Mus musculus: one gene and its partners. The protein of the gene in region 6 interacts with the protein of the main gene of each other region in a pairwise test. Links are inferred from orthologs where the notes say so. Each region holds a gene or a part of one and is shown on either strand. Other genes may lie near its edges. The genes, in order: Armc7, Dzip1l, Mettl17, Cchcr1, Plekhn1, Cby2 and Txlna.

What was found.
Region 1: the proteins of Cby2 (region 6) and Armc7 interact in binary tests that used the Homo sapiens proteins (3 or more experiments, as listed by UniProt). The two-hybrid records come from large-scale screens. The link is inferred for Mus musculus from reciprocal best matches to the Homo sapiens genes CBY2 and ARMC7.
Region 2: the proteins of Cby2 (region 6) and Dzip1l interact in binary tests that used the Homo sapiens proteins (3 or more experiments, as listed by UniProt). The two-hybrid records come from large-scale screens. The link is inferred for Mus musculus from reciprocal best matches to the Homo sapiens genes CBY2 and DZIP1L.
Region 3: the proteins of Cby2 (region 6) and Mettl17 interact in binary tests that used the Homo sapiens proteins (3 or more experiments, as listed by UniProt). The link is inferred for Mus musculus from reciprocal best matches to the Homo sapiens genes CBY2 and METTL17.
Region 4: the proteins of Cby2 (region 6) and Cchcr1 interact in binary tests that used the Homo sapiens proteins (3 or more experiments, as listed by UniProt). The two-hybrid records come from large-scale screens. The link is inferred for Mus musculus from reciprocal best matches to the Homo sapiens genes CBY2 and CCHCR1.
Region 5: the proteins of Cby2 (region 6) and Plekhn1 interact in binary tests that used the Homo sapiens proteins (3 or more experiments, as listed by UniProt). The two-hybrid records come from large-scale screens. The link is inferred for Mus musculus from reciprocal best matches to the Homo sapiens genes CBY2 and PLEKHN1.
Region 7: the proteins of Cby2 (region 6) and Txlna interact in binary tests that used the Homo sapiens proteins (3 or more experiments, as listed by UniProt). The two-hybrid records come from large-scale screens. The link is inferred for Mus musculus from reciprocal best matches to the Homo sapiens genes CBY2 and TXLNA.

What each region holds. Positions count from the first base shown.
Region 1 is NC_000077.6:115,474,523-115,478,466, forward strand, and holds the start of Armc7 (armadillo repeat-containing protein 7), read left to right. Parts: upstream 1-1,144; 5' UTR 1,145-1,414; coding exon 1,415-1,505; intron 1,506-1,599; coding exon 1,600-1,743; intron 1,744-3,944. UniProt on the Homo sapiens protein: As a component of the minor spliceosome, involved in the splicing of U12-type introns in pre-mRNAs.
Region 2 is NC_000075.6:99,639,531-99,643,030, reverse strand, and holds part of Dzip1l (zinc finger protein DZIP1L), read right to left. Parts: intron 3,218-3,500; coding exon 3,133-3,217; intron 1,298-3,132; coding exon 1,179-1,297; intron 499-1,178; coding exon 337-498; intron 1-336. UniProt on the Homo sapiens protein: Involved in primary cilium formation. Probably acts as a transition zone protein required for localization of PKD1/PC1 and PKD2/PC2 to the ciliary membrane.
Region 3 is NC_000080.6:51,883,653-51,887,641, reverse strand, and holds the start of Mettl17 (methyltransferase-like protein 17, mitochondrial precursor), read right to left. Parts: upstream 2,801-3,989; 5' UTR 2,697-2,800; coding exon 2,619-2,696; intron 2,492-2,618; coding exon 2,338-2,491; intron 2,255-2,337; coding exon 2,120-2,254; intron 745-2,119; coding exon 663-744; intron 420-662; coding exon 338-419; intron 1-337. UniProt on the Homo sapiens protein: Mitochondrial ribosome (mitoribosome) assembly factor. Binds at the interface of the head and body domains of the mitochondrial small ribosomal subunit (mt-SSU), occluding the mRNA channel and preventing compaction of the head domain towards the body.
Region 4 is NC_000083.6:35,516,045-35,520,052, reverse strand, and holds the start of Cchcr1 (coiled-coil alpha-helical rod protein 1), read right to left. Parts: upstream 2,801-4,008; 5' UTR 2,312-2,800; coding exon 2,114-2,311; exon of another isoform or gene 2,089-2,113; intron 1,903-2,088; exon of another isoform or gene 1,837-1,902; coding exon 1,770-1,836; intron 1,675-1,769; coding exon 1,461-1,674; intron 912-1,460; exon of another isoform or gene 1-911. Other genes in the region: Tcf19 (transcription factor 19-like protein), read left to right, coding at 3,938-4,008. UniProt on the Homo sapiens protein: May be a regulator of keratinocyte proliferation or differentiation.
Region 5 is NC_000070.6:156,225,713-156,229,699, forward strand, and holds the start of Plekhn1 (probable pleckstrin homology domain-containing family N member 1), read right to left. Parts: upstream 2,801-3,987; 5' UTR 2,780-2,800; coding exon 2,697-2,779; intron 2,605-2,696; coding exon 2,505-2,604; intron 1-2,504. UniProt on the Homo sapiens protein: Controls the stability of the leptin mRNA harboring an AU-rich element (ARE) in its 3' UTR, in cooperation with the RNA stabilizer ELAVL1.
Region 6 is NC_000080.6:75,582,334-75,585,659, reverse strand, and holds the end of Cby2 (protein chibby homolog 2), read left to right. Parts: intron 1-1,424; coding exon 1,425-2,609; 3' UTR 2,610-2,826; downstream 2,827-3,326.
Region 7 is NC_000070.6:129,638,266-129,642,209, forward strand, and holds the start of Txlna (alpha-taxilin), read right to left. Parts: upstream 2,801-3,944; 5' UTR 2,706-2,800; exon of another isoform or gene 2,666-2,705; intron 2,541-2,665; exon of another isoform or gene 2,163-2,540; 5' UTR 2,157-2,162; coding exon 1,991-2,156; intron 1,303-1,990; coding exon 964-1,302; intron 1-963. UniProt on the Homo sapiens protein: May be involved in intracellular vesicle traffic and potentially in calcium-dependent exocytosis in neuroendocrine cells.

The DNA of each region.
Region 1 (3,944 bases), on a different chromosome or scaffold from region 6:
TTCATTCTAACAGAAAACAGAGTTGGGGCTGGCTAACAGGCCCACGTCCAGGAAAAATAGAATCTGTGATCCTCCAGCTAGGAAATTTTCATCACACTTGCCCGTTGGTAATAATGGCATTAATCTGAGGGCAATAAGCAACGAAGAAATGAGGGTGCAAATGTAGTTTAGTCACGTACATCAAACCTTCACTTCCATCTCCAGCCCCACCCATGCCCAGGTGTGCTGTAATCCCAGTTCTTTGGAGCCTGGGGCTTGGAGACAAGATGGAAGCAAAGTCTACTCTTTTGTAGCCAGGATCTGCTTTGGACCATCCCTGGAAAATTTTGAGGGGAGTCTGCAAAGTATTTGTTCTGGAATCTCAAAGGCTCCAGGTCCCCAGGTCTTTGATGTTCTGACTAGTCAGACGCTTGGCCATCTTGAGCTGAGATGTAAGAAGTCTGCCTAGCCTGCTTCTTATAAAACCTAAAGGGCACAGAGTTCTCACGGAGCAACCTTGGTTCTCAAGCATCCAAACTAAGACTAAAACTCTTGCTCTTGGTTGATGTTGGGCATGGATTGATCACTGGAACTTAAACCCCAGAGGTGGGGGCCAGGGAAAGGTGAAGTACACAAACCATTCTGCTGTGATTCAGGTCCCTGGTACCAAACATAGTACATGACCCCTGACCCTTGCCCTAAAAACCCTTACTGCCTCCATCCTCCACCTCCACCACAGCACGGCAAAGCTGGGCCCCTCCCTGACGCTCCTTGTGACCCTAAGATTGTGTTTGGGGTTTGATGGATGTTCTGTTTTGTTACCAGGGTCTTGCCATGTAGCTCTGGATTGCCTTGTAGACTAAACCGTCCTTAAACTCCGTGTTCTGGGATTAAACTACTATCATGTCTAGATGGCCTGAAGATCCGTCTGCCCGGCTGTCAATCCATCCACCATTCTCTCTCTCCTTTTCTCCTCTTTCCCTCCCCTCTCCCTTCCTCTCTCCTTCGACGCATCCCCGCTGCGGCGGCTGCGCAGTGGAGGGTTAAAGCCTCCAGCTCTAGAAATCCGGAGGGAAGCCCAGGAGGCGCCCAGTAACCACGCCCAATCCCGTCCTGGTCCCGCTCACTCCGTTTCCTGGGGCGGGGCTAGAGAGACTTCCGCCCTGAACCAGGAAGCGGTGCAGGGAGTGTGGTAAGGGGGCGTGCCTGCCTTCAGTTCCGAAAAGCCACAGCGTCTCGCCCGGGTTGAATTTTGGTTTTCAGATCCGGCTCAGACAGGATCCTGAGACCCCTGGCCACCCCCACAGCTCATCCCCAGCTGCAGACGCGGATCTCAGGACAAGACTGGGTTTGCTGCCGCTCTGTCGCCGCCGGGACAGGTCAGGATCCAGGCCTTGTGGCCTCTACCGGAGCTCCCAACTCCGCCGCCCCAGCCATGGCACAGAAACCCAAGATAGACCCCCACGTCGGGCGGCTAGGCTACTTGCAGGCGCTGGTCACAGAGTTCCAGGAAACCGAGAGCCAAGGTAAGAGGTGTAGCGTGGGCACGAGGGACCCAGGAGGGTTCTGACGGCAGCCGCCGCCGCACAGGTCCGACCCCAGGGCTGCTTCCCATTGCAGATGCCAAGGAGCAAGTCCTCGCCAACCTCGCCAACTTCGCTTATGACCCGGGCAACTACCAGTACCTACGGCAACTACAAGTCCTGGACTTATTCCTTGATTCTCTGTCGGAAGAGAATGAAACCCTAATCAAGTTTGCTATTGGTAAGAGTTAGGCTGCCCCCAACCCCCGTGCCCGCGCGCCTCCCCCCAAGTTATAGACTAGAGCGACTTGAGAGTCAGGCATGCCACTCGCCTATAAAACTAGCATTACGGGAGGCTGAAGCAGGAGGATGGTTGCGACTTGGGGGCCAGCCTGGGATTCAGAGTAAGACACTGTCACTAAACAAACTAGTGTTTGGGATGGGATCTCATCTAGGGCAGAGCTGCCGTGTGTGGACCACCTACCTTCTCCTCCTCCACACATTATCGGGGTCACAGCTCATTCCAAACAAGTCGTGTCTTTCTTCCTCTTAGAAAAGAGATAATAAGTGAGGAAATGGGGTGAAACCTCTTTGAAAGAAGTTTAGTTTTTTGTTTGTTTGTTTGCTTGATTTTGATTTTTTTGAGACAGGATTTCTCTGTGTAGCCCTGGCTATTCTGGAACTCACTCTGTAGACCAGGCTGGCCTTGAACTCAGAAATCTGCCTGCCTCTCTGCCTCCCAAATGCTGGGATTAAAGGTGTGCGCCACCACTGCCCGGCTGGAGCTTGCCCTTGTATTGTTTACTGTCAAGAGGTGCAAAGGTAGCTTAGAACTCCTATAGTTGGGTTATTGTAAGGCCGTTTGAATTATTCAAGGTAGACTCTTTTACATTTGCTGTGTAGGTGTGTGTTTGCATGTGTGTGTGGATGAGTGTGAGTATGCATGTGCACCAGGCTGTATGCATGAAATTTGTCAAGAGTCAGTTCTCCCCGAGTACAGTGGTACATGCCTTTCATCCCCAGTACTGGGAAGACAGAGGTAGGTAGATCTTTCCGAGTTCCAGGCCAGCCTAGCGTGAGTACTGAGTTCTGGACCATCTAGGGCTATGTGGTAAGATGTCGTCTCTAAAAACTAAGGTAGTCGTTGTTGTTGTGTTCTCCTCTTCCAGTTGCTAAGGGAAGATCTCTGTGCCTTCAGAGTAGGGCAGTGCACTCCATAGCTGGGCCGTGAGCCTCCAGCTAATGGGGAGAGAGTGCTGGGGTTCCAGATGCTCGACACTGCATCTGGTTTTCTTATGTAGGTCCCTGGAACCGAATTCAGGTCATCAGAATTGTGTGGCAAGCTCTTTTACCTACTAAGCCATCTCCTCTGCCCCATGATAGATAGTCATTATTGGGCACCCTATAAGGAAGGTACTGGCCCAGGTTCTGAGGAGATGGTGAACAGGTTGGGGATTGTATTCTGGAAGGGGAGCTAGGTGGCGAATAAAACAAGCAAAGTAGAGATAAACAGGAACTCAGATGGAGCCATAGGAGGTGTGTCACGCTACTTACGCTACTTCCATTTCAGCCATCTTGGATATGCGATGTAGACAAAGCAGCTAAGCAGGAAGCTGTTAGAGGGAAGCTGATGTGTTAGAGGGAAGCTGATGTGTTAGAGGGAGGCCGATGTGTTAGAGGGAAGCTGATGTGTTAGAGGGGAAGCTGATGTGTTAGAGGGAGGCCGATGTGTTAGAGGGAGGCCGATGTGTTAGAGGGAAGCCGATGTGTTAGAGGGAAGCTGATGTGTTAGAGGGGAAGCTGATGTGTTAGAGGGAGGCCGATGTGTTAGAGGGAGGCCGATGTGTTAGAGGGAAGCTGATGTGTTAGAGGGGAAGCTGATGTGTTAGAGGGAGGCCGATGTGTTAGAGGGGAAGCTGATGTGTTAGAGGGAAGCTGATGTGTTAGAGGGAGGCTGATGTGTTAGAGGGAGGCCGATGTGTTAGAGGGGAAGCTGATGTGTTAGAGGGGAAGCTGATGTGTTAGAGGGAGGCCGATGTGTTAGAGGGAGGCCGATGTGTTAGAGGGAGGCCGATGTGTTAGAGGGGAGGCTGATGTGTTAGAGGGGAAGCTGATGTGTTAGAGGGAGGCTGATGTGTTAGAGGGAGGCTGATGTGTTAGAGGGGAAGCTGAAGTGTTAGAGGGAGGCCGATGTGTTAGAGGGAGGCCGATGTGTTAGAGGGGAAGCTGATGTGTTAGAGGGAAGCTGATGTGTTAGAGGGGAAGCTGATGTGTTAGAGGGAAGCTGATGTGTTAGAGGGAGGCCGATGTGTTAGAGGGGAAGCTGATGTGTTAGAGGGAAGCTGATGTGTTAGAGGGGAAGCTGATGTGTTAGAGGGAAGCTGATGTGTTAGAGGGAGGCTGATGTGTTAGAGGGAGGCCGATGTGTTAGGGATATTTTAA
Region 2 (3,500 bases), on a different chromosome or scaffold from region 6:
TCGATTTCCTTCTCTGGTGTGTCTGAAGACAGCGACACTATACTCACATATATAAATAACTTATAAATAAATAAATAAATAAATAAATAAATAAAAAAATAAATAAGTTTTTAAAAAATAATTCTAATATAGAACGAAGATACAGAAAGATGTTAGAAGACATGTCCATCTCTGGTCTCTACATACATGTGCATGAGCAAGCCCTTGTACATGTGCACAAGCATACAAACACACACAAACACACACACATGCATGCATGTGCACACACAAAATTAACTTTTAAGAACAAATAGGTTTGCAACAAACAAATTTTGAAAATCTTTTTGTGTGGGGTACCTCTTCTAACGTGGAGTTCTGGTTGGCAACAGTTTTGAATTCATCCCAAAACAGCTGTTTCAGCTTGTCTATCTCTCCATAAAGCTTGCTGCGTTCTTTTTCTTTCCATTCATCGAACTTTTTTTTAGCTTCCATTTCCCGCTGACGAGCCATCTCTAATTCCTACCCAAAAAAATAAAAGGCAGTATAATCATTGCTTTCCAGTTATGGCAAACATTTGCTGAGTACCAGCCAAGGCCTCCTCAATATGCATAACACTATGGCAATCCAAAGAACACACCACCCTCAGCCCCTGAAGTCTAGACCCAAAGTGGTCCACTGCTGGACACGACTTATCTAAACTATAGACTCTCGTGAGGATAAAACTCATTTTCTCTTTCTTTTCAATCCCCAATAAATGCCTGCTAAGGCAATAAGTGACGAGCGATGACATGGGGAGGTGAAGAAGGCTAGAGTTTTCACTCTATAAATTTATTTATATTTGATACTTATAGTTCACGCCCCCTAGCCTAAAATTCTGGAGTTTTCAAAACCAGCCCCAGTCTTTGTCCTCAGAGAGCCAAGTAACAGTGTGGCCCAAAACACTATGTTCAAGTTCAGATGCCTTCAGCATCCCTACGCAGAAGACCATGACTCTCTGCTGCACTTTTGGCCACACAGGTCTGGCAAAATAGTTTGACCGTCCCTTCCAAAGTATAATCATGTTCCACATGGGAGAAGGTGGCCTTCTCTCTCTGACTTCCAGCTCAGGGAAACCGGTAGGAATTTGGTTCCTGTGGGAGTCTAGTGCATGGCTGCACAGGACACCCTGAGCCTCTCCTGCCATTTCCCTGCACTCTCACCTGGACCTGCCGCTGCCGCTCAGCCTCCCTCTGGGCTTCCAGCTCCCCTTGGGTCCACTTGAGCTTGGCCCGAAGCTCCTCCAGCACCTCCCCCAGTGGCTGTTCCTGCTTCTGCTTTCCTGGGGTCCACACAGGATGGGTGAAAGGGGGAAGAGTCATGAGCAAAAACTGCCCTAAGAACACATGTCCATAGTGCTGGGAAGATAGCACAGTGATTAAGACCGACTGCTGCTCTTCCAGAGAAACTGAGTTCGGGTCCCAGGATCCATGTTGTGTGGTTCACAACTGCCTATAACTCCAGGCATAGGGGGTCTGACACCCTCTTGTGGCCTCTGTAGGCACACACACACACACACACACACACACATACAAGACACAGGGCATATATACACAGAAGCATACGCATAAATAAAAATAAATCATAAAATAGAAAAAGAACAAATTTCCCTCTCCTTCTACTAAAACACTATGAAAAGACACACACGAATATTTACATACAAGAATGTCAATCCATCCTGTGTTACATAGTAAGGAAATTTTTGAGTTAGCCAGATATTCTGTACCACAATGTGAAAGAAACTGGTGGTTACATCACGAAATTCTGTTCAGTCATTAAAAATCATGTTTTCAAAGATGGTTTAGGGCTGGCAGTGCCGCACAAAGCGCTGCTTTTGACCCCCATTACTGCGTAAGCAAGGCATAGCAGCATACACGTACAACCCCAGACCCAAGAAGTGGAGTCAGAGAGCCAGGAGTTCAAGACTACCCTCAGCTAGACTCAGCAGGTTCAACACTAATTAAAAAAAAAAAAAAAAAAGAAACAAAAACAAAAACCCAGAAATTGTGGTATTCTCAAGAGTTTTTATATACTTACAAATATATGCAGAAAAATATCAAAATAACAACTGCTGTGATGTCCTTTGTTTTTATCTTTCTTTTTCCTATATATCATTACATAGTTAAGTTTCTATAGCAAAGATATATTTTTACAAGAAAATAAGAAACCAATATTTAAGACATAGACTATTGACGGGCGGTGGTGGTGCACGCCTTTAATCCCAGCACTTGGGAGGCAGAGGCAGGCGGATTTCTAAGTTCGAGGCCAGCCTGGTCTACAAAGTGAGTTCCAGGACAGCCAGGACTATACAGAGAAACCCTGTCTCGAAAAACCAAAAAAAAAAAAAAAAAGACATATACTATTTTCCTCAATAATCCCCAATATAGAACTATGAAGAGATATATAATAAGTATACAACTAAATGATACTGCATTAAGCTGTGTGCGTGTGTGTGTGTGTGTGTGTGTGTGTGTGTGTGTGTGTGTCTATCTAAGAACTGAACCTAGAACTACACTGCATACAAGCAAGTCCTATATTACGGAGCTACATTCTCCACTGCAAAAAAAATGTAAGAGGATTACAATGATAGGAAATAACAATGTTTCCCTTAATGAGAATTTTATATGTATGTTATGCGGTTATTTCATTGTACAGACACTTCTGTTGAACGCAAAAAGTACATATAACTTTACAAGGACAACACAAAGCTTTGTTACTCCTTTTGGAATCTGAAATGGTACAATTAAATAAAGTGATTAAGTCGTGATAAGCTCCGTACACAGAACAGCCAGAGAACTGGTCTGACTGCTCATTTGCCCCATTTATACAGTCAGCCTCGGATTGCTACAGATGAGGCTACAGGGAGGCTAAAGGCCCTTATGAGTCACTGCCTGCTCCACACACAGTGAAGGGCACAAGTCAGAGGCTAAGTACTGGCCACTGTTCATGGAAAACTAAAACTAAACCTACCTGTCTGATGCCTCTTGTCCCCTACACAGGCAAGACTGCACAGGGCACCATGTGGAATCGCTAAGAGGCTCTAAGAGCAGGTCTATGTGCATGGGCCTCACACACCAAATCCTTGCCCAGCAGTTCCCCAATGAAGCCTGGACTCACCGACATCTGCCATGCCTGCATGTCTGCGTTGGATGTGGCCCCGGAGAAAGGTGGCATTCATGAAGGTCTTGTCACACAAGTGGCACTACACAGAAGAAAAGCAATTGGAAGGGCTGGATTAGATCCCCCAGACAGCGTGGAAATATCCTGTAGTGAAACTCTGCCTCCACAGGGTCCATGGGCTGCCTCAGAAATAAAAAAGAATTTGAAGGGTCGGGAGTGGGTGAGACCCTAGGTTCAATTCCCAACACCACAGAAAGACAGAAAGAACGGTGGGAGTGGGAAGGGAAAGAAAACAGAAATCCTGATTTTTAGTCAAATATGAGGCCAATAAATACCACTATGTGTCCCAGCCCCTATTACAACCA
Region 3 (3,989 bases), about 24 Mb from region 6:
TAAGAGCACTGACTGCTCTTTCAGAGGTCCTGAGTTCAATTCCCAGCAACCACATGGCGGCTCACAACCATCTGTAATGGGGTCGGATGCCCTCTTCTGGTGGGTCTGAAGACAGCAACAGTGTACTCACATACAGTAAATGAATTAAAAAAATACTTTCAGATAGGAAACATCTCAGTGATTCTAACCTTTCTTAGGCCACAGGATTGTTTTCAAAGGATAAATAAAACCATTAGTGTGTGCATAACATCCCAAGAACTCCTACCACAGAAGGCTAATTTACAGAAAACAAAACCAATGGCAAAGGGGGCTGGGTTGGATGCTGAGAGACTCTCACCTCATGGAATGCCCTGAAAACTGCAGCAAAACCACCGTCCAATCTGGCTGCCATATAGATCAGACTCAGCTCTTCACTGTAGCTGTCAAACAACAACAACAACAACAAGTCAGAGACTCCCCCCTCCCCCACTTAGGAAATAACCTAGCCCCAGTTACCTTCTAAAGTTTATGAAACAAAAAATCTGAAACGATTCTTCTGGTTAGTCCTTCCACTTTCTAGTACAGAAGACTTCAGGAGGCTTTCTCAAACGCAAAGCTGACTACCTCTTCAGCTCTCCTCACGTGTAACATGCCTTCTTTGTACCCTTTCTGGAAGACCGTACCTGAGTTCCTGCCAATGGTAGGTAGTTTTGCGCAGGGCATGCAGTACTGCCTCACGAAGTTTCTCCTCTGTGGGAGCTGAGTCTAGGGTGAGAAGAACTGGAGGTGAGGACTTAGGAGAACGGCTTAGATCCCGTGAAGTACACGCCTCCCAGCCTTCCCCATTCCTGTCTGAGAAAATGCTCAAAGTCCGAGAAAGGTCAAAACTTCAGGGAAGAGGGATAAGACTGATGACCGCCACCATCACCAGAGTATCAAAGACTTTCCAACACTATCTTGTCTGTATATTATCTACCTAATAGTATCTAGACTATTAGAATAGTAGTTTAGTCAACTTAACCCATCCAAGTTTTGCGTCATAGTGAGCAGAAGCCTGATAAAAATGATTTTTTTTTTTTAAATATTTACTTCTTGTGTGCATATAGGTCCGAGTCAGTTCTCACCTTCACCCATTTGGTAGAAGGTCATCAGGTTTGGTGGTGAGTGCTTTTTTACTCTGTACCATCTCTCCTGTCCATGTGATAAAAATAAAAGCCAGGATAAGGGCACTTTTATAGACTTTTTCACTCTCTGACACTTAGGAGTGAGACATCTTCAATATTACCATAGAAAGGGGCTTGAAAATCCAAGTCTCCGGACTGTGTGGAGCTCTGTACCACTGGGCAAATTTCTACAAACACCTACAGTAGTGGCTTGAATGACAATGGCCCCATTTGCTCCCCAATGGCTCATCCGCTGGAATGCTTGGTCACCAGGGAGTAGCACTACGTGAAAGGATTAGGAGGTGGGCTTTGAGGTTTCAAAAGGCCATGAGAAGCCCAGAGTCTCGCTCTGTTCCTGCAGTTCCCGATGCAGATGCAGAACTCTCAGCTATTTCTTCAGCACCATGCCTGCCTGCATGCTGTCATGCTGACAACCGACTAAACCTCTGAAACTGTAAGCCAGCCCCAGTTAAAAGCTCTCTTTTCTAAGAGTTGCCGTGATTATGGTATCTCTTCAACAATAGAACACTAAGACACTACCCTGAACCAGGTACTGTGGGACGTGCAGGGAATACAAGAATAAAAGGCAAATTTACAATATGAAGTCCATAGTCTTAAAAATAATCTGAAATGTAATAATTTTCTATCCGAGGTGGGGTTTCGTGTTTACTGAACTGCCTGCCATATGGCCTTTACTTACCTGAATCAAAATATAGTCATAATCTCTTTGACTTGCAGCGGTGGAGGGGAAATTTTTTATAAAAAAACCCGAAAGACCAAAACTTCTGACCTTTACCCAATCTCCAAGGGCAACCTCTGGCCCAACCTACCTTCTTAGCAGGGCATCATCTAGTAGGGCTGTTACTACAGCATCAAATGAGAAACAGCAGTATTTATCTGAGAGATTTAAATTATTCTTTGATCCTAATTTCTCGTTGACATTTTAATCTGGTTTGCCTTTTAGTTTTAAGCCCTACCTTGTTTTTCCAGGAATTTTTTCTCAAGATACGCAGCCCGTCTTTGCAACTCCTCCGGCTCTACAGGTAAATGTCGGCTCCAGAGATAGTTGGTGAGTGCTTGCACCTGCTTCTCTACACTGCGCATGGGTCTCTCTGTGGTCACAGATGGAAAGGGTCATCGCTGCGTGCTGGCCTCGTTTGGTTTTATCTGGCTTCCCCTTCCCGCAGTTTCTCACCAAAAAGCATTAACTGTGCGGCGTCAGCCAGTGCTTGCGGCAGCTGGACGTGCGGAAGATGCAGGATGCCGGGATGCTTTCGATGGGGCTTCTTCCCCAGGAAATCCGACCCGTTGTCTACCTGGGACACACCGGGCACAAGGGCGGCGTATGCCTGCAGACAGCGAAAGAAACAGAATGGTTGCAGGTGCTTGCTGCCCGAGGCATCGCCGAGGTCGCTCCTCCTCCGAGAGATGTCTCTGGAAACCCAGTTCTCCGCCAGCAGAGGAAGATGCACTTACTCGGGACTGGGGTCCTCGAAGGCTGCGGCAGGATCTGCAGAACAGCAGCAGAAATCTCGGTGTCCTGGCGGTGGCCATGGCTTCAGGACACACCGGAAACGGAAGTACACATGCCTGTAACCCTCAGCCCAAGCAGCTAAGAGCATCTTCCGTGGAACTTCGACCCGGACGGTATCAACTAATGAGAAGAGGGAGTATTTGCTAACAGCCAATAAGCGACCTTATGTACCTTATGTACGTCTCTGCGAAGAAGGCCGTTCGTGGGAGGGGCTTAGCCTTCAGAAGGGGCGTGGTCTCAATGCTGAGCGTGGCTGCGGGCGAGACCAACCCGGCTTGGGCGTGTTTTGTGATGGGGAGGGATCAGTCTCACGGGTTAGGGGGGGCTAGTGGGGTAGGAGGGAGAGGGGTTGGGGGAGTAGGGAGATGGGGGCGGCGTGGAGGGGGAAGCAGTCTCACTGGGGTGGGGAGATAGAAGGGGACGTGGGGGGGTGGTAGGGAGTGGGACTTGGGAGGACAGAGGCGGGGGCAGGGCTGGGCGGGGGTGGGGGCAGGAGTGGGGCTGAGAGTGGGGTAGGCAGGTGAAAAGGAAAGTGTGGACTTTCTTTGTTTTCATTTGGTGCTGTAGAATTCTGAACCGTGGCTAGTTTCCCTTTGTGAGACGGGACAAGACCATAACAAAAATCAGATTTAGGCAGTCAACGATGAGCGCTAATAACTATTACAGTTTGCAAATTAATAAATATAAAAATTAGCTTACTTTTTTTTCACATTTGTTGTCTGCGAGTTTGCTCCAGGTTTTCTATCAAGAGCTTCCCACGTAGCACACCGAATTCCCGCCATCTTATTTCCACAAACATCTGTTGCTAACTTAATTTTTCACGTGGTTAATTTACCCAAGTTCATGAACTTAATAGGTGATAGCTGAATTAAGTGCTAGGGAGTCGAAAGTCAGAGTTACATTTTTAAACAATGCACCGTACTGGGTATTGTTGGTCCTTGAAATGCAAATGGAGAATTTTAAGCTAAATGTTCGAAGGGTTAATCAGTGTGTGTGTGGGGAAACAACAACAACAACAACAAAACCCCCCAAAACCTGGGGCTGGAGAGATGGCTCAGCGGTTAAGAGCACTGATTGCTCTTCTAGAGGTTCTGAGTTTAAATCCTAGCAATCACATGGTGGCTCACAACCATCTGTAAGGGGATTTGATGCCCTCTTCTGGCCTGTGGATGTATATGCAGCAGAGCACTCATACATCTTTAAAAAAAAAAAAAAAAAAGACTCATGGACCTGTAAATTCTTGGGTCCCGGCAGCAGTACTTTACCCAGCTGTGGTTTCCTCTTTAGCCTCTTGGGGGCAGAAGTTAGCTGAC
Region 4 (4,008 bases), on a different chromosome or scaffold from region 6:
TGTTACACCCTGCTCTTTTGGTGCGGGCTTTTTCCGTGAGTGTTTGGTACATTGCACAGGGAGTCTGAGGCGTCTGCATATCTGAATTGGTTATGTGGAGGCTCCAGAGGCATCTCTGTCCCTGAGAATGGCAGGATTTCCTTTAACTGGAGGCTAGCAATGACTTGCCACAGTTCCTTACAATCTGTCTCCTAACATGCCCCTCTGACAGAATGACACCCCAGGACACTGGGGGAAAGACACAGACGAAACAGAAGTAAGAATGCTCATTCACACAGAGCCGAATGTCCACAGGGGCTGGAGAGCCGGCTCGGGGTGCTAAGAGCGCTTGCTGATCTTGCAAAGAACCTGAGTTCAGTTCCCAGCCCCCCACATTCAAAGGCTGACAGCTGCCTGTCACTCCAACTACAGAGGATCCTTCACCCTCTTTTGGCCTCCAAGTATGAATGCTCACACACAATCATACACACATAAATAAAGTCTTTGTTGTTGTTTTTTCCAGACAAGTTTTTCTCTATGCAGCCCTAACTGTCCTGAAACTCAATCTCTAGACCAGGGTTGGGGCCTTGAACTCAGGGATCTGCCTACCTTTGACTCTCTAGTGCTGGGATTAAAGGCAGACCATACTAAGCTCAAAAATAAAATTCTTAGGGCTGGAGAGTTGGAGCAGAGGTTAAGAGTTCTTTAGGGGCTGGAGAGATGGCTCAGCAGGTAAGAGCTCTGACTGCTCTTCCAAAGGTCCTGAGTTCAATTCCTAGCAACCACACGGTGTCTCACAACCATCTGTAATAGGATCTGATACCCTCTTCCGGTGTGTATAGGAGTACAATGTACTCCTATAAATAAAACTAAATAAACCTTAAAAAAAATTTTTTTTAATAGTCTTAAAACACACATTGACACCAGGCGTGGTGGCGCACACCTTTAATCCCAGTACTCGGGAGGCAGAGGCAGGCAGATTTCTGAGTTCGAGACCAGCCTGGTCTACAGAGCGAGTTCCAGGACAGCCAGGGTTATACAGAGACACCATGTCTTGAAAAAACAAACAAACAAAAAACCAACAAAAAACAAAAAAAAAAAAACAAATAAAACCACATTCACAGAGCATAGCCAGCTCCAGTTGCACATTCCTGTAAAGGCCTGCTTAACTACTCCAAAAGGAGCCAGTATGCCTCTGGAGAACTGGGTCAGCATGTCTAAGCTGCACGTCATTTTGCTTTAAAACAGCTTTTGCAGAACTTATCCCCTCCCTTAAGACATTTACATTCCTTATGTAATGAGAATTTAAGTCCAAACATCTATTCTCACTAACCCCAACGCATGTGGTCTATGCGTCGTAGGGGCCAACAATGGCCTATAGAAAAACCACACAAGTTATAGAACCAGGGGCTGAAATGAAGGCATGCGTGTATGAAGGACCATGTGTCAGTCTGAGGAAGAGGTGATTGGCAGATCCCTACCTGCCTCTCCGCCCTAGCCCCTGCCCATCTCCACAGAAATCCTGTCCCCACGTGGTCACTGTCGACCTCTGAGCATCTAGCCGTCTCTCTAAGACATCTTGGCTGGCCGGAGATTGGACCAAGGGAACGTCTGAAGCCCAGGTCGGGGCCATTCTTGGCAGAGTTGGAAGGGGCCGAGCTTGGAAGTGGGAGGGAGGAACCAGCCCAGCAAAACCTGAGGGGGTCACAAGAATAAAGACTGTCAGATTCTGAGAGAGGGGGAGAGGGAAGAGGGAGATGATCCTGGTCTCCTTGACTAGCCTCACTGACCTGACGGTGGCAACATCTTCCTGTTATATGAATCCTGTAGCTCTTGTCTCCAGTCACCTATGTTCCCCTGGACAATAGGAGAAACAAGGATACTTCAATTCAATTTTTCAGGCCACCTTCCAAAGAAAAAGCCCTATAAAAACAAAGTCATAATCCTTAAGTTACTGACAGGTCTATCGGGCTGTACGCTTCTCTTTTCCTACTTCCCTAAGGCACACGGTAACCAAACCACTTGCTTGTCCCAACTACGCTCCTGATAGAATGAACCAGGCAACAACCCTAAGGTAAATTTACTGAGACGAGGCTTCCTTCTACTTACAGGAATGTGGGTGGTGTGCCTTTACCTTCCTCCTTAAGTGTCTACGGTCCCTGCAGCTCAGGACTCTCTGGACACAGTATAAGGAGCCCACTCTCCACAGTCCTTGCCATGGAATGGTAGGGCCGTTGGGAAGCCCATCTAGGCACCATCGAGCCAGGATTTCTGAGTCATTTCCTATTAAAGAGTTAGCCCAAGGCCTGGTCCGGGAAGAATGAGGCCACATGTGGGGTTAAGCGTCTTCCCTAGGATCCCTGAGGAATCGGAGCAGCCGGGAGCCCGTTGCTGGGAAGCCAGCTTCCTGGCAACTCATCTGGGCCTCTCTGTAACGGGCCTCAGTTGCTCTCTATCCCCTCGGCTTCCATTCCCGATGCATCTCTCTTCGGAGTCCTACAGCATCTTCTTTCCCCCACTTCCATCAGAATTCAAGTTTTTGGGTTTTTTTTTTTTTCACTCAACCCCCGCGATTCCTACCCGTTTCTCTTCCTAGACCTAGTATGAGTCTTTTTCGATGGAATTATCTTGGTCGCTCCCTGTCCTGTCTCCCCCACTTCTCTCCCGCACACACCCCGGGCTAATCCCCGTCAGGACCCTGAACTCTGAGGCTGTCTTGACCTCCTCATCTATCCTTTGACCCAGCTCCTGCACCCCTCTTGCCCTGTGGATCCCCTCCGCCCCCCTTGCGCCCCCTCTCAGACTCTTCCCGCCCCCAACTGACTCTCCCCGAACGCCCCTTACCCAGCGCGAGATCCGCCCTCTTGCCACGCCCCTTACACCTAGCACCCAGTCTAGACGCCACACCCAGATCACGCATGCGCGGGGCGGCGGGCTGCTCTACAGCTCCATTTCTCCCTACCGGAAATAGGAAGAAGAAAGGTGCAAGCAGGCACCCTGACGCCCCAAACTTTCTCCGCGCCCTGACGGCCCCTCCTCTCCCCGGGAACCCGGGAAAACGTGCCGGCCAATCAGAAGTGGCGGAGAGCGGGAGATGAGCAACTCCCCCCTGCGCATCGGCCAATAGAGCAAATGGGTGCAACTCAGATGGCCAATCAGAAGCAGCCGGCGGGGGGGCGGGCTCGCGGGCGCGAAGTCGGACCCGGGAATTCCGAAGGAGGAGTCTGCGCAGCGCGCGCGCGCGCCTTCACCCAAGCCCCGCCTTCGGGGCGGCTTCCTTGGCTGTCAAACCTCGGCGGGAGCGCGGGACGCAGGGTACGGAATCCCTTCCTCAGTTTACCCCGCGAGCGAAAAAAAGAAAGGGTGAGATCCACTTTGTTACAGAATTAGGGACCCGTCTGCGCCGCCCTTTGCGGGTGACAGTGGATTCACTTCCCTTAGGGGAACTGATCCGAAGAGCGGGGGTGGGGGGGAAAGATGGAAGGGGTGCGCTACTTGGATTAGAAAGTTTAACCATAAATTCCCTGACTCCAGGTTACACTTAGGGAGAAGACCCGTGTCACACGCACGTTTGTGTACCAGGGCCCCTTCACCCCCTCTGCCTGTTCCCAGTTGCGGTTTAAACTAGCTTTGCCTTGCACAGATTGTCGGAGGCTCCCGGATGTTGAGCCGCCTGAGGATCCGGCTTCACTGAGGTGCCACAAGACGTCTTCCTGGTTTTGCATCGCATCAGGACTTTACTGGAATTGCTTTTTAAACCTCATCTTGACAGCCTCTGTCTTGGTGCATATCCAGGCCTCTGGCGCTCTGAATCTGCACTGCTTAAGTTGGCATTAGGCACAATACTTAGCTGTTGACATCAGAGAGAACTGAATTGAAGCCCACGGTGCATGACCCAGGAGTAGGAGAGGGAATGGACTTCTGAGGTGGGCAAAGTGGTGCAGAGGGGGCACCCCCCATGCTGCCCTGTTTCCAGCTGCTGCGTATAGGGGGCGGCAGGGGCGGTGACCTCTACACCTTCCACCCCCC
Region 5 (3,987 bases), on a different chromosome or scaffold from region 6:
GATCCCCAAGCGATATACACACAGCTTCTGTATATAGTTCTGATCTGTCCGTGCGTGGCCACAGAATGCATTCCTCAAGAACACACACATACATGCACACCACACACCCCTAAGCCTCGTCACATAAAAAGTGGAATATATGCATACCACACATATAAATATAATGCTCCCTGCAGTTACAGCTCTGCGCTCTATGGTATAAACTTAAGTTGGTATCACTGAGTTCAGTCCTTATCTTCAATACGGCCTACTCTGTACAACTTCACTTTGGTCATTCCACACCCTCAGACTTGCCCCAGAATTCAGAAGTGATATTATGAGAATGAGATAATGCTCACAGCCTTCTCAGGTTTTCAGTAGCAGTTGAAAGTTTTTTTTTTAAATCTAGTTCTATGAAAAAATGAAATAAAGAAGAAAAATCCAATATTTATTGTAATATTTACTAATTTCTTTAGTGTAAATATTCCCAACATTGCCCAAGTTGAGTTCGGTAACTCGTGATGTCGTGAACTTGGAACTGGAAAGAGGTACTAGTCAGTTGTTGTGAGTCTCTGCTGGCTATCCCAGCTCACCACATACATACTACGTATCTTACAGTGGAAGGTAGAGCATTGGCAATGGACTGAGGAGTTCTCTATGACTAAACTTGGGGCCCCGTCCTCTCCTTCGTTTTTCCATTATGTAAGACACATGATGTCTCACCTTTGCGTGTGCGAGTCTCTGCTCAGCCCTAACTTCCCATTTTACCCCTCTGTGGGCTCTCTGTTCAGGTTTACCTTCTTTCTGAATGTCCTAAAATTCAGCTTTTGCTTTTCACTTAGTACTGGTTTAGACTGGCTTCTCTTGTTTTGTCTTGACTATCTTTGACATAGTAATGGAAGAAGGTGACAACAGAAGTCTTATTCTGTTTTGCTCCTTGCTGACTCCACACAGTCTAGAACATGACCCTGGGATGTTCTGGGAGGATGGGAAAGAGGTAGGTCCAACATCTGCACAACTTTTAGACAGTCTTTGAAGAATCCTCTATATCATTTTAGAGATCAGAAATGGACTAAGTTGCGAGCCACAGGCTTGGGACGGGTGCTATGTTGCCTTTGGAAGCTGTCAAGGACTACCTGCATGGGCTACTATACACGGATCAAGTTGAACTACCTCTAGTGCAGGCCCTGGGAATGTGAACAGACAAAAGCAGCTCATATCCTCACTGACTCTGGGTGGGGCCTCCTGTACGTACACCCAGTGTTGAAACGCATGCTGGATGGCACTGAAAAATAGGCCATGAATAGGAAAGGCTATGACGCTGGTCCTGGTGCTCAGACAGCTGAGGGCTCAGCTTAAGATTGTGGCAGGGCTAGTTCTTGTTTAGATGCAAAATCTACCTAGAGTCCATAGTCCATGTACGGTGCTCAGGACTGGTTCTCTGCCTGGCTAGGGCCCCTTTTCCTGATCCCATTTCCTGAGGGTCACACTTTCCAGTTATTGTGACCTGACTAGGCTCAACTACTCTGGAACTTTGGGACTCCTTCCTAGAATTATTTCCTGGGCCTGACTGGAGGGAGTCAGGGTCTGAGATGTGCCCACAGGGAGGGGATGCCACCCTTGGTCACGCCAGGCCCCATTTCCCTCTTTATTTCTTTGAGGCAGTAAGGTTTCTAAAGGTGACACCCGTCTGTAGAAATCCCTGGGGCCCCAGAGACCAGGAGGGGCTGGTTTCCCAGTTTTCCTAGGATCCTGTGAGAAAGGTATACCTTGGGAGTTTGCACCAGCTGCAGCACCCAAGAATCCAGGAGCCTTGCCCCAACCCTGGTAGAAGCTGCACATATATAGCAGATCCCAGCCCACTGGGGTGGGTGTGGTCCTCCACGAACAGCAGAGTAGGACGTGTTCCTGTCAGACCTGCAGCCCTGGCTCCTCTCAAGTATTGCCATAGACTTGGGAAAAGGGGAGGGGAAAGGTGTGTTTTTCCTCGGCGAGTCATTAAACCCACAGAATGTTTAGCCTTCTGATCTCAGGAGGGTTAGCTGGCTTCTTGCTCTATGGGGATGGGTGCCCGCCTAGATGGCAACATGGCAGCTGTGGGCTCCACAGTGACCCTGGGGGACTGAGGCCCGCACTATGCTATTTACCAGAAGCTTCCACACAGGTGTTCGGCCCGCAAGACCCAGGCTGGGGCGGTGGAGGTTGAGGGCGGGGCCACTGTCCCTTTGGATATATCGCAGACTGGGCTGGCTCTGCCTGCTCAGCACTCACTCAGTGCTGGTCTTGGTTTCACTCTCAGCCTAGACTCTTGAGCGAGCTCCCAGGGAGGAGCCAACTTCCTCATCTTGCTTTGGATTTGAATCCCTCCAAGCAGACCAGGGATCACCCCAAGCTGCTGGAAGCTGTGATGCCCCCATGATCACTCACACTGTGGCACACACAAGCACACAGGGAGAAGCACAAAGCTGTACTCAGACTCCAGGCCCCGAGCCAACCACTCCAGCCGGACACGCCCCTCCGCTCACCGTCCCAGGGATGTAGTGGAAGATCCTGTTAGCCGCGGTGTCCCCATCAGGCCTAGCCTCGGTGCCAAACAAGCCAGCCAGCTTCCTGGCGCTGTCTTCTCTGGGAACAAGGGAAACCGAAGGCTCAAGGCCTGGTCCAGGCAGCAGGTCCAGGGAGACCCTGTTCCCTTGTGGCCAGGCCACACCCCTCACCTGTTTCCCTTGAGCGAGGGCTTTCTGGAAAAGGAGGCCCGTAGCCTCCTGGGGGCCTGAGGGACGCAGTGGCTGTTCCCCATGGATGGCAGCTGCTAGCTTGTGCTGGGCAGGTCCACAGGTCTGGGTTCTTGGTTCCTCTGTTAACGCCTCCCGCTGGTGGGCGTGGCCACAGGACGCCCTGCCCCTACCTGGGGAGGCTCCTCTCTGGGCCCGGATTGGCCCCTTTTGAGGGAAACCTTCCAGTGAGGGCCCAGGTTTCCTAGGCCCAAGGCAATGAGCCTTGGGGTAGAATAGGTATCTCCTGATTGGACCAGGAGCCCCCATCTCAGCACCCTGCATAGACCTGGCCAGAAGGGCCTGCTCTGTATACACCCGCACACTTGTATTCAGACTGGAGGAGCCTAGACGTTGGAGTTCTATGGAGGCAGGGATTCTCCAGTTGCCCCTCCCCTGCCAGGGTGCACACATCCTGTTTCCACACGAGTCCCAGCTGTCTGAGTCACTGGTGACTGTCGGGGGTGTGTTGCTCACTCTCAGCTGCTCAAGAGGTGCAATTTCATATAAAGGGAGAGAGACCTGAACCCTCCCCCAGCTTCTCTTCATTCTGGGCCAACCCTTATCCAGAATGAAGTCAGGGTCCCCAAAGTTTAATCAAATGCAAGAAAGAGGCCACGTGCCTCTCGGGTTCCTAAGGCTATCTTCCTCATTGGCCCCACACTCCCAGATCCCAGGAGCCTCAAGACTAGGATGACAGCCAGTCTCTGTTCCACTTGAATGCAGAAGTGCCATTTTGCAGCCCCAGACGTTAAGGTAGCGTTTGAGTCTGGCTGCACACTTGCCTGTAGACCTTCACTCTGTTGTCCAGAGAGGAGCCAAAGATGTGCTGTAGAGCCACAGCAGAAGGTACAAAGGGGGCCAAAGATGGACATTCAGCCTCAGGCCCATGGAGCCCAAGAAACATGTTTATTGTTCAAGTTGGCTCATATTGCTGTGTAGGATCTAAGTGCATGTTGTGTGCCCAGCTCCATAGAAGACCCAGAAAAGACATCACACTGTGTACACGGGACATAGGAAATAAGGCTGCTTTGTGTCCTTCAGGGATAGTGCCTGGCAGAGACAGATAAGTGCTGTGTGCAAAGCGCTGGCTAGGGGTCTGCATCATCTTCTTAGAAAGCCCTTGCCGCTGCTCCTGTTGCCACAGTTGCTCTGCCCCTTCCTGCTTGCAAGGCCCAGCTGTGTTGCTCATCCTCCTTCAGTGAGTGTCTACCCAGCATTCTCTATTGTCCCA
Region 6 (3,326 bases):
CTGGCTATTATAAATAAGGCTGCTATGAACATAGTGGAGCATGTGTTCTTCTTACCGGTTGGGACATCTTCTGGATATATGCCCAGGAGAGGTATTTCGGGATCCTCCGGTAGTACTATGTCCAATTTTCTGAGGAACTGCCAGACTGATTTCCAGAGTGGTTGTACAAGCTTGCAATCCCACCAACAATGGAGGAGTGTTCCCCTTTCTCCACATCCTCGCCAGCATCTGCTGTCACCTGAGTTTTTGATCTTAGCCATTCTGAAGTGGAATCTCAGTGTTGTTTTGATTTGCATTTCCCTGATGATTTCTCACTTTTTTGGATGCTTCAGAAAAACTTCAGATTTTGGAGCACTTTGGAAATGAAAAATCTTCTGATTAGGAATGTCAGGCTGAAATAGTATTTCATTTGCCGGCGTCGTGAGGATTAAATGAATTATACAGGTAAAATGCAGCCACGGAGCCAGCTGGCCATCCTGCCAACAACTGTAACATCAGCCCCAAGGAATCTGACACTTTCTTCAAGGTGGTGCAGTTTCCCCAAGTTAAAATTGTAGAAACTGGGATTCACACAACTTGCCCAGATTCACATAACTGATAAGTAGTTAAGAAAAGAAAGAAGAAGAAGAAAAAAGGTTGATTCTAAAATAAGTACCTTTCATTTCTGCCATGTGTTTGGATCTTATTATCTGTGTCTTTTCCTTTTTTGAGTTTTATGTTCCTACCTGCACTGTCTCTGAGGTAGCTGAGATTATAGGCCTGCACAGTATGTAGTTAATTATTTATAGATTTTATAGTTATGGATGTATAGGACTTTGACTATACCAGCATTAGTGCTCATAGAATATTTATGGTCTTTCTTGGATCTACAGAGATGTTTGTATATGGGTATACAGCCAAGAACTGGGGGTAAGGTGCCCCTTGTTTGAACGTCCATCCTGGAAAAGTGTCTTGTTTTCAGTTTATATGCCAGTATGATTTTGAATCTTTGTACTTCTTGTTGGCTTCACTGCTTACAGTGACATCTAAACATATGGCTAAAGACTCTTAATTACCACGGGTCCGTGTTGTGCCCCCACGGAGCAAGCTTGTTAGATAAGCTCTGCTCACGGTAGAGGATTCACACACTGTCAATCTGCATATCCATGAGGGCGTCTATAAACAGAAGCAGTGTCTTCTATTTTAGCAGTCCACGGAAATTTGATGACTCGAGCCTTATAGGAACCTGGCTCAGTTTTCCCCCCTAGGAACCATGGTTCAGTATTCATTAATTCAGAAGGATGCTACCCAGGATTACAAAGGCTGGTTATACGTCCTCATTAAGATCCCTGGAGGTCACGTGAAGGCATCTCTGGACCTCTTAGTTCACCAGCACTCTTTTCAACAGTTCCTCCGTTAACAGCTTCCCTGCTTTTCTCCCACAGAGGGGCACCGAGCCCTTCCTGAGGCTCCACAACCTGTACAGTACTCCTCGCTGCTCCAGGCAGGCTGCCTTACCTCGGATGAGCCGCAGGGTAGCCAGCCAGCACTCCTACCCACTCAACCGCTTCTCTTCTATGCCTTTTGACCCCATGGAGCGCCCCACCTCCCAGGCCGACCTGGAACTAGACTACAACCCTCCCCGGGTGCAGCTCAGCGATGAGATGTTTGTCTTCCAGGATGGGCGCTGGGTGAATGAGAGCTGCCGCCTACAACCACCTTACTTCTCTCCCCCCTCCTCCTTCCACCATAAGCTGCACCACAGGAGGCTGGCCAAGGAGTACCAGCTGCAGGAAGAGAACAAGTCTCTTCGGGATGAGAACCGGGCCCTACGGGATGAGAACAAGGCCCTCCGCAAGGAGAACAAGATCTTACAGGTCTTTTGGGAAGAGCACAAGGTCACTTTAGGCCACGAGGAGAGTCAGACCTCCTCATTGTTGCACAAGGACACAACCTCCCAGGAAGTGGTGAAGAGAGACAACACCACTTTGCCTGCCCAGCGTAGCAAAGAGAGCACCCTACAGCTCATTCGAGAGGAGAACCGGGCCCTGCAGCAGTTGCTGGAGCAGAGGCAGGCCTACTGGGCCCAGGCAGAAGAGAATGCAGCTTCCACTGAGGAAGGCAAGTCCACCTCCTCACCCAAGGAGGAGTCCCATAACTCAGGGCTTCTGCCAGATCAGAGCACAAACCACTCCTCCCCCTTTGAGGACCCCAAAGTGCCCCCCACAACACAGGAGGACTCGAAGACACTGCGTGCCCTGAGGGAGATGGTTAACAACTTGTCTGGGGCATCTGGGGAAGAGGATGGCAAAGTAGGCCCTAACCTACCTGACAGCGCTCAACCCCTGCAGCTGCTGAGAGAGATGAACCAGGCGCTGCAGGCCCTGCAGGAGGAGAACCGGCTGCTGCAGGAGGAGAACAGGGCTCTGCACATCTTGCGAGAGGAGCACCGCGTCTTCCAGGAGGAGAACAAGGCCCTGTGGGAGAACAATAAGTTGAAGCTGCAGCAGCGGCTGGTCATCGACACGGTGACTGAGGTCACAGCCCGGATGGAGATGCTTATCGAAGAGCTGTATGCCTTCATGCCAGCCAAGAACAACAAAGATCCCAAAAAGCCCAGCAGGGTCTGAGGCCTTGGCAGCAGACATAGACACCAAGACCAGACCAGAGAGAACCCTCAACCTTCCTTTGTCTTCCTTACTCTGCCCAGAAGCACGTGCCCGTGGGACAACGGAGAAAGGGCCATCCTACACCTGACACACAATAAAGACAGAGGAGGCTGGGGCCAGCCAACACCAGCGTGGAATTATGGCTTCTTCTCCCCCTTCCTTCTTACTCTTTAACGTCTTACTGCCTCCCCTTCTGTTCCTTTGCCTTGCCTCTCTCGTCTTTATCAACCATCTCCTTATCTGGTTCCCTGTCCTTATTTTTCAACCCCTGTACCTTTTCTCCCCTTCTATAGCCTTAGCAGGGTATGATGGTGCATTTTTGCACTCTCTCGGGGCTCAGGAAGCTGAGGCAAGAGGATTGTGAACTTAAGGTTCACCTAGGCTACATAGTAAAAAAAAAAAAGGCTTTATAAAATGCAAGGGGTTGGGAAATGGGCCACAGGACTCGGCACGACAGACGGACTTTTTAGAGTGAAATTGAGCCGAAAGTCAGAGTTCCTGCAGACCTCTGCCATAGTCATCAATATCCCCTACCAAAATCTATAAAAATTGATGAGTCCACATGGACTCATTAGCACACAAAGTCCCTAGTTAGGATCCTCTGGCTACATTCCTTAGACAATGAGCCTGGCCTGTCTTTGTATGTTGATTGTGACACTTAGGGTCCTTAGAACCCTG
Region 7 (3,944 bases), on a different chromosome or scaffold from region 6:
GGTCTTGCTATGTAGTCCAAGTTGCCTTTGAACTCAGTCTTCCTGCCTCTGTTCCTCCTAGTCGCCCATTAGAGGCATACACTACCACATAGGTTCCCATTAGATTCTAAATTCATATTTTCATATTATCCCACCACCCCTGTCAAAGGACTGCCATTGCTCTCTGTTTTTATTCATTTGAGATAAGGTTTCATTATGCAGCTGGCTGGTCCGGCACTCAAGAGATCTACTTGCCCCTGCTTCTCAAGTGCTGTGATTAAAGGTGGATGCCATCACGCCTGATTGCCTCTACCTCAGCCAGGAAGCTTTACAATTGTCTCCCTTGGGTTCCACTGTATTCAGTCAGCACAGACCAGGTTCCTGAATTGTCAGTCCTGGAGGCCCACGAGATTGGCATGGAGATGGCAAACCCCACCAGTGGATGGCTTTGCTTGGTTTCTATTATTTTGGTTGCCAATTATTCAGCTGGTCAGATGAGAGTGGGGGACTAACCAGGTAGGAGTCAATTTTTCAGATCAAGAAGGCCCTTTCTTGATGATTCTGAAGAGGTCTGTGGCTTACCTGGTTCATGTTGATATTTGATATCTCAACCTTGGTGTAGCCTAATTCTATTGCTATAGAAACAGGGAAACTAAGACCCAGGAGTGGAGAATAAACATGTCCAAAGTCAAGCAGCAGCTAAAAGTGGTGCTGGCAAGCACTCGGGCCTCCTGTTCTCCATATCCTCAGTGAGATGCTAGCTACACTCTGCCTCCACTTCCCAAGGCCAGGAGGCTTTGCACAAGTGAGTGATCTAACAGCTCAATGCTAGGACCCCATCTTTGAGTAAACCCGGGCGGGGGGGAGGGGAGATAACACACATACTGTCTTGAAAAGCAGATTCTTTTGAGTTCTGACAGAGCAGGTTAGCCCATGAGATGACAGGTGTTAACTCCCTCCCCTCACCAATAGCTCCCCCCTCACCTAGACCCTTGGCTTTCTTCTTCTCCTGTGGCCTCCGATGGTCTCGGTCTCCAACTTCATCACTCGCTCGGATCTCCTCTGTTCCAGGCTCTCCCTTAGAGGTCTCCTTCTCGCCGTTGACGACTGGAATGCCTGGTTCAGGCTCCCCATTCCTGGCTGCATAGGTTCGGGACTTCTCCGTGTCTTCCGGCTCAGTGGGCTCACCCTGTGCTCCCTCCTCAGCCGGGCCTCCCTGATTGTTGTCCACACAGTATGTACTCAGGATGTCTTCCAACTGCCGGCTCAGCTCCTCAGAGACGTCACAGAGGGCCCCAGGCTGAGCTGCTTTAGCTCGAGCCCCTACAGCAGGAAAGATGAAGACACGGGATTAAAGTTCAGTGGTCATACCACTCGCTTGGATCTTCTTTAAGCCCAGATAAACACACTGGTGTGGGTTAAATGTTGTTTTATTTATTTATTCGGTTGAGTTAGGCTCTCTCTACAGGGCCCTGGCTGTCTTGGAACTTAGTATGCAGGCTGATCACAAACTCCGAGATCTGTCTGCCTCTGCCTCCTGAGTTCTGTGGACAATGGTGAGGGACACTAGGCCTGGCCTCAATTTAAGTTTTTTTAAACCCTAAGTTTGTTTAGTTATAAAACAAGTATTTCTAACACCCAAACATACTTGTTATAAAAGCCAACTGTGTAAAGCACCCCTGTGTGAGGAGCAGTTGGCATGTGGCAGACGCTGCACCTCATGAAGGACAATTACCCACCACTGGCAAGTGTTCTCTGGGAATATGACTTTGCTTACGGGGTGCTTCATTTGACTGTCTTCGTTTAAACCAGTCAGAGCATGCTCCCAAGGTTGCGCCCCACGGCTAAGAGTGGGAAGGTTCACCACCTCCCCAGGAAACAAAAGGATCACACAGAATGAGCATCGTTCATTCTATAGTTCCTTCTTCTTGGGTAAACACTGGCCTCAGAAGACAGACCAGTACCAGAAACTCCTCCCTCTGCCCACTGGAAAAGCAGAGCTGGCACACACCCTCGGTCTTCCCAGGAGCCTGGCTTGTGGAACCTTCGGCTTCCGCCCCAGGAGCTGTCTGTCTGGGTCGTCCATGGGCTCCCTCCGGTCCTGCTTCCCGTTGCCCCGGGCTGCCCTTCGAGTTGGAGTGTTTGGCAGGCCCATTCTTTTTGTCTTGGTTCTTCATTGTGATCTGCAAGGCCAGAAATGGGGCAGATCCTTTAAGGACCCAGTTGCTTTTTTTTTTCTAGACTTCAAAATTCTTCTTCACAACTAGATAAGAAATCCCCAAATCTGACGCTCGAAGCTTCAAACAGACCGGTCGGTCTTCGCCCGGGATTTCACGGTCCCATGGAAGGTTTCCGAGAAGCTGCCCCTGAGTGAGTGAGGGAAGGAAGAGGCCTCCTTTCTCCCGAATGCCACTTCTCGGCACCACACGGCTCCCTCTCGGCAGCCGGAGCGCGGGATTGGCTCAGAGCCGCAGACTGACGTGGCGGGATGCTCCAGTCCCGATCGGCTCCCCGCCCCACCAGGTCCCACGTGGGACCCCCGCGCGCGCGCGCGCACAGAAGCCACCCACACCCCACGCGCCCTCTAGACCTAGAGTACGCACGCGCAACACTGGGGCAGGCCGCCCTCCCCCCGACCCCCCGAATTAGTTGTTCCTCTACGGCCAACGCGTCCTGGGCCACAGACCCTCTGAAGAGCTCGTCCCACGTACAGCCCATAGACATACTTCACCACGGACGTCCGGCGGCGTCCTCCTCTCCGGCCGAGCACCGGAAACCTAGGTAACTGCTGCCAACAGGACCGCCCTCTCCTGCCGCAGCCAATCAACAGCAAACGCGGGCGCGGAGCTTGCTGGGAAAAAAGAAGTCAAGGCGGCTTTGGAGGCGGGAGTGGGAAAAACTACGAGCCCCTTCATGCCTCGCGGCGCCGCACAACTCCCGAGATGCAACCGAAAAGCATAGGAGCCAAATACCCTGAGGGTCCGAAATTATGTCATTGGTCGAGAGATTTTTGTCAGCCTCTTTTCTGGTACTGAAGCTATGATTGGCCTTAAACTTTGGCATTCTGGTCTTTTTTTTTTCTTTTTTTTTCATACACTCATTAGTCCTTTATAAACATGTATGACTTTCTATGATCTCTGAGAACTCGGAAGAGGGATAGAAAGGTAAACTAATTTGTTATGTGCCTGGCATTTTTTTCCCCTCTATTACAATAGAAGGTTTATAATAATTCAAACGTTTTTTCCTCGTATCCAGTAGCTTGATTCTCATAATTACTCGGATTAAGTACAAAATACTCAGTGATCTGTGAAATATACGATAGTACAGAAAAGCCTAGTTAAAATAAAACAAACTACTATTTGTTTGTTAGAGACAACATCTCGTTATATGTGGCTTTGGCAGGCCTGGAACTCCCTATGTAGATTAAATTGGCTTTGAACTCAAGAGTTTTGTCTGTCTTTGCCTCCCCATGGCTTGGACTAATGGCAAAGGCCACCAGGTAAAGGGTAAATAGTTTAAGGCTCCATCAATATTGTGTGGTTATAGCAGATTCAAAGCTGGAAGCCTGACACCAGCACCCATCCTTTAAAAATATTTCTTTGCCCCCTGAGTCAGGGTTTCTTTGTGTAGCCTAGTGTGTCCTAGAACGTAATCTTTGACTATGCTGGCTTCTAACTCAGAGCTGCCTACCAAAACCGGTTGGAACCATTCTCCGACACCACAGCTGTTCTCTGAGGCAATTTATGCCCCGCCTTCTAACCCCACCAGCTTGGCAATTACTCCCTCAGAAAGGGATTGAAGCCAGGGAGTTTGGCTTTAGGCAGGTTGGTAAACTCCCACCCTACCACCCCTGCCCCACTTTCTGCAAAGTATCAAGTGTTACTGCTTTAAAATGTTAGATTTTTCTCGTCTTTGTTCTTCATTATGATTTGCAGTGCCAGTGTAGGCTCAGAACATTAAAAAAA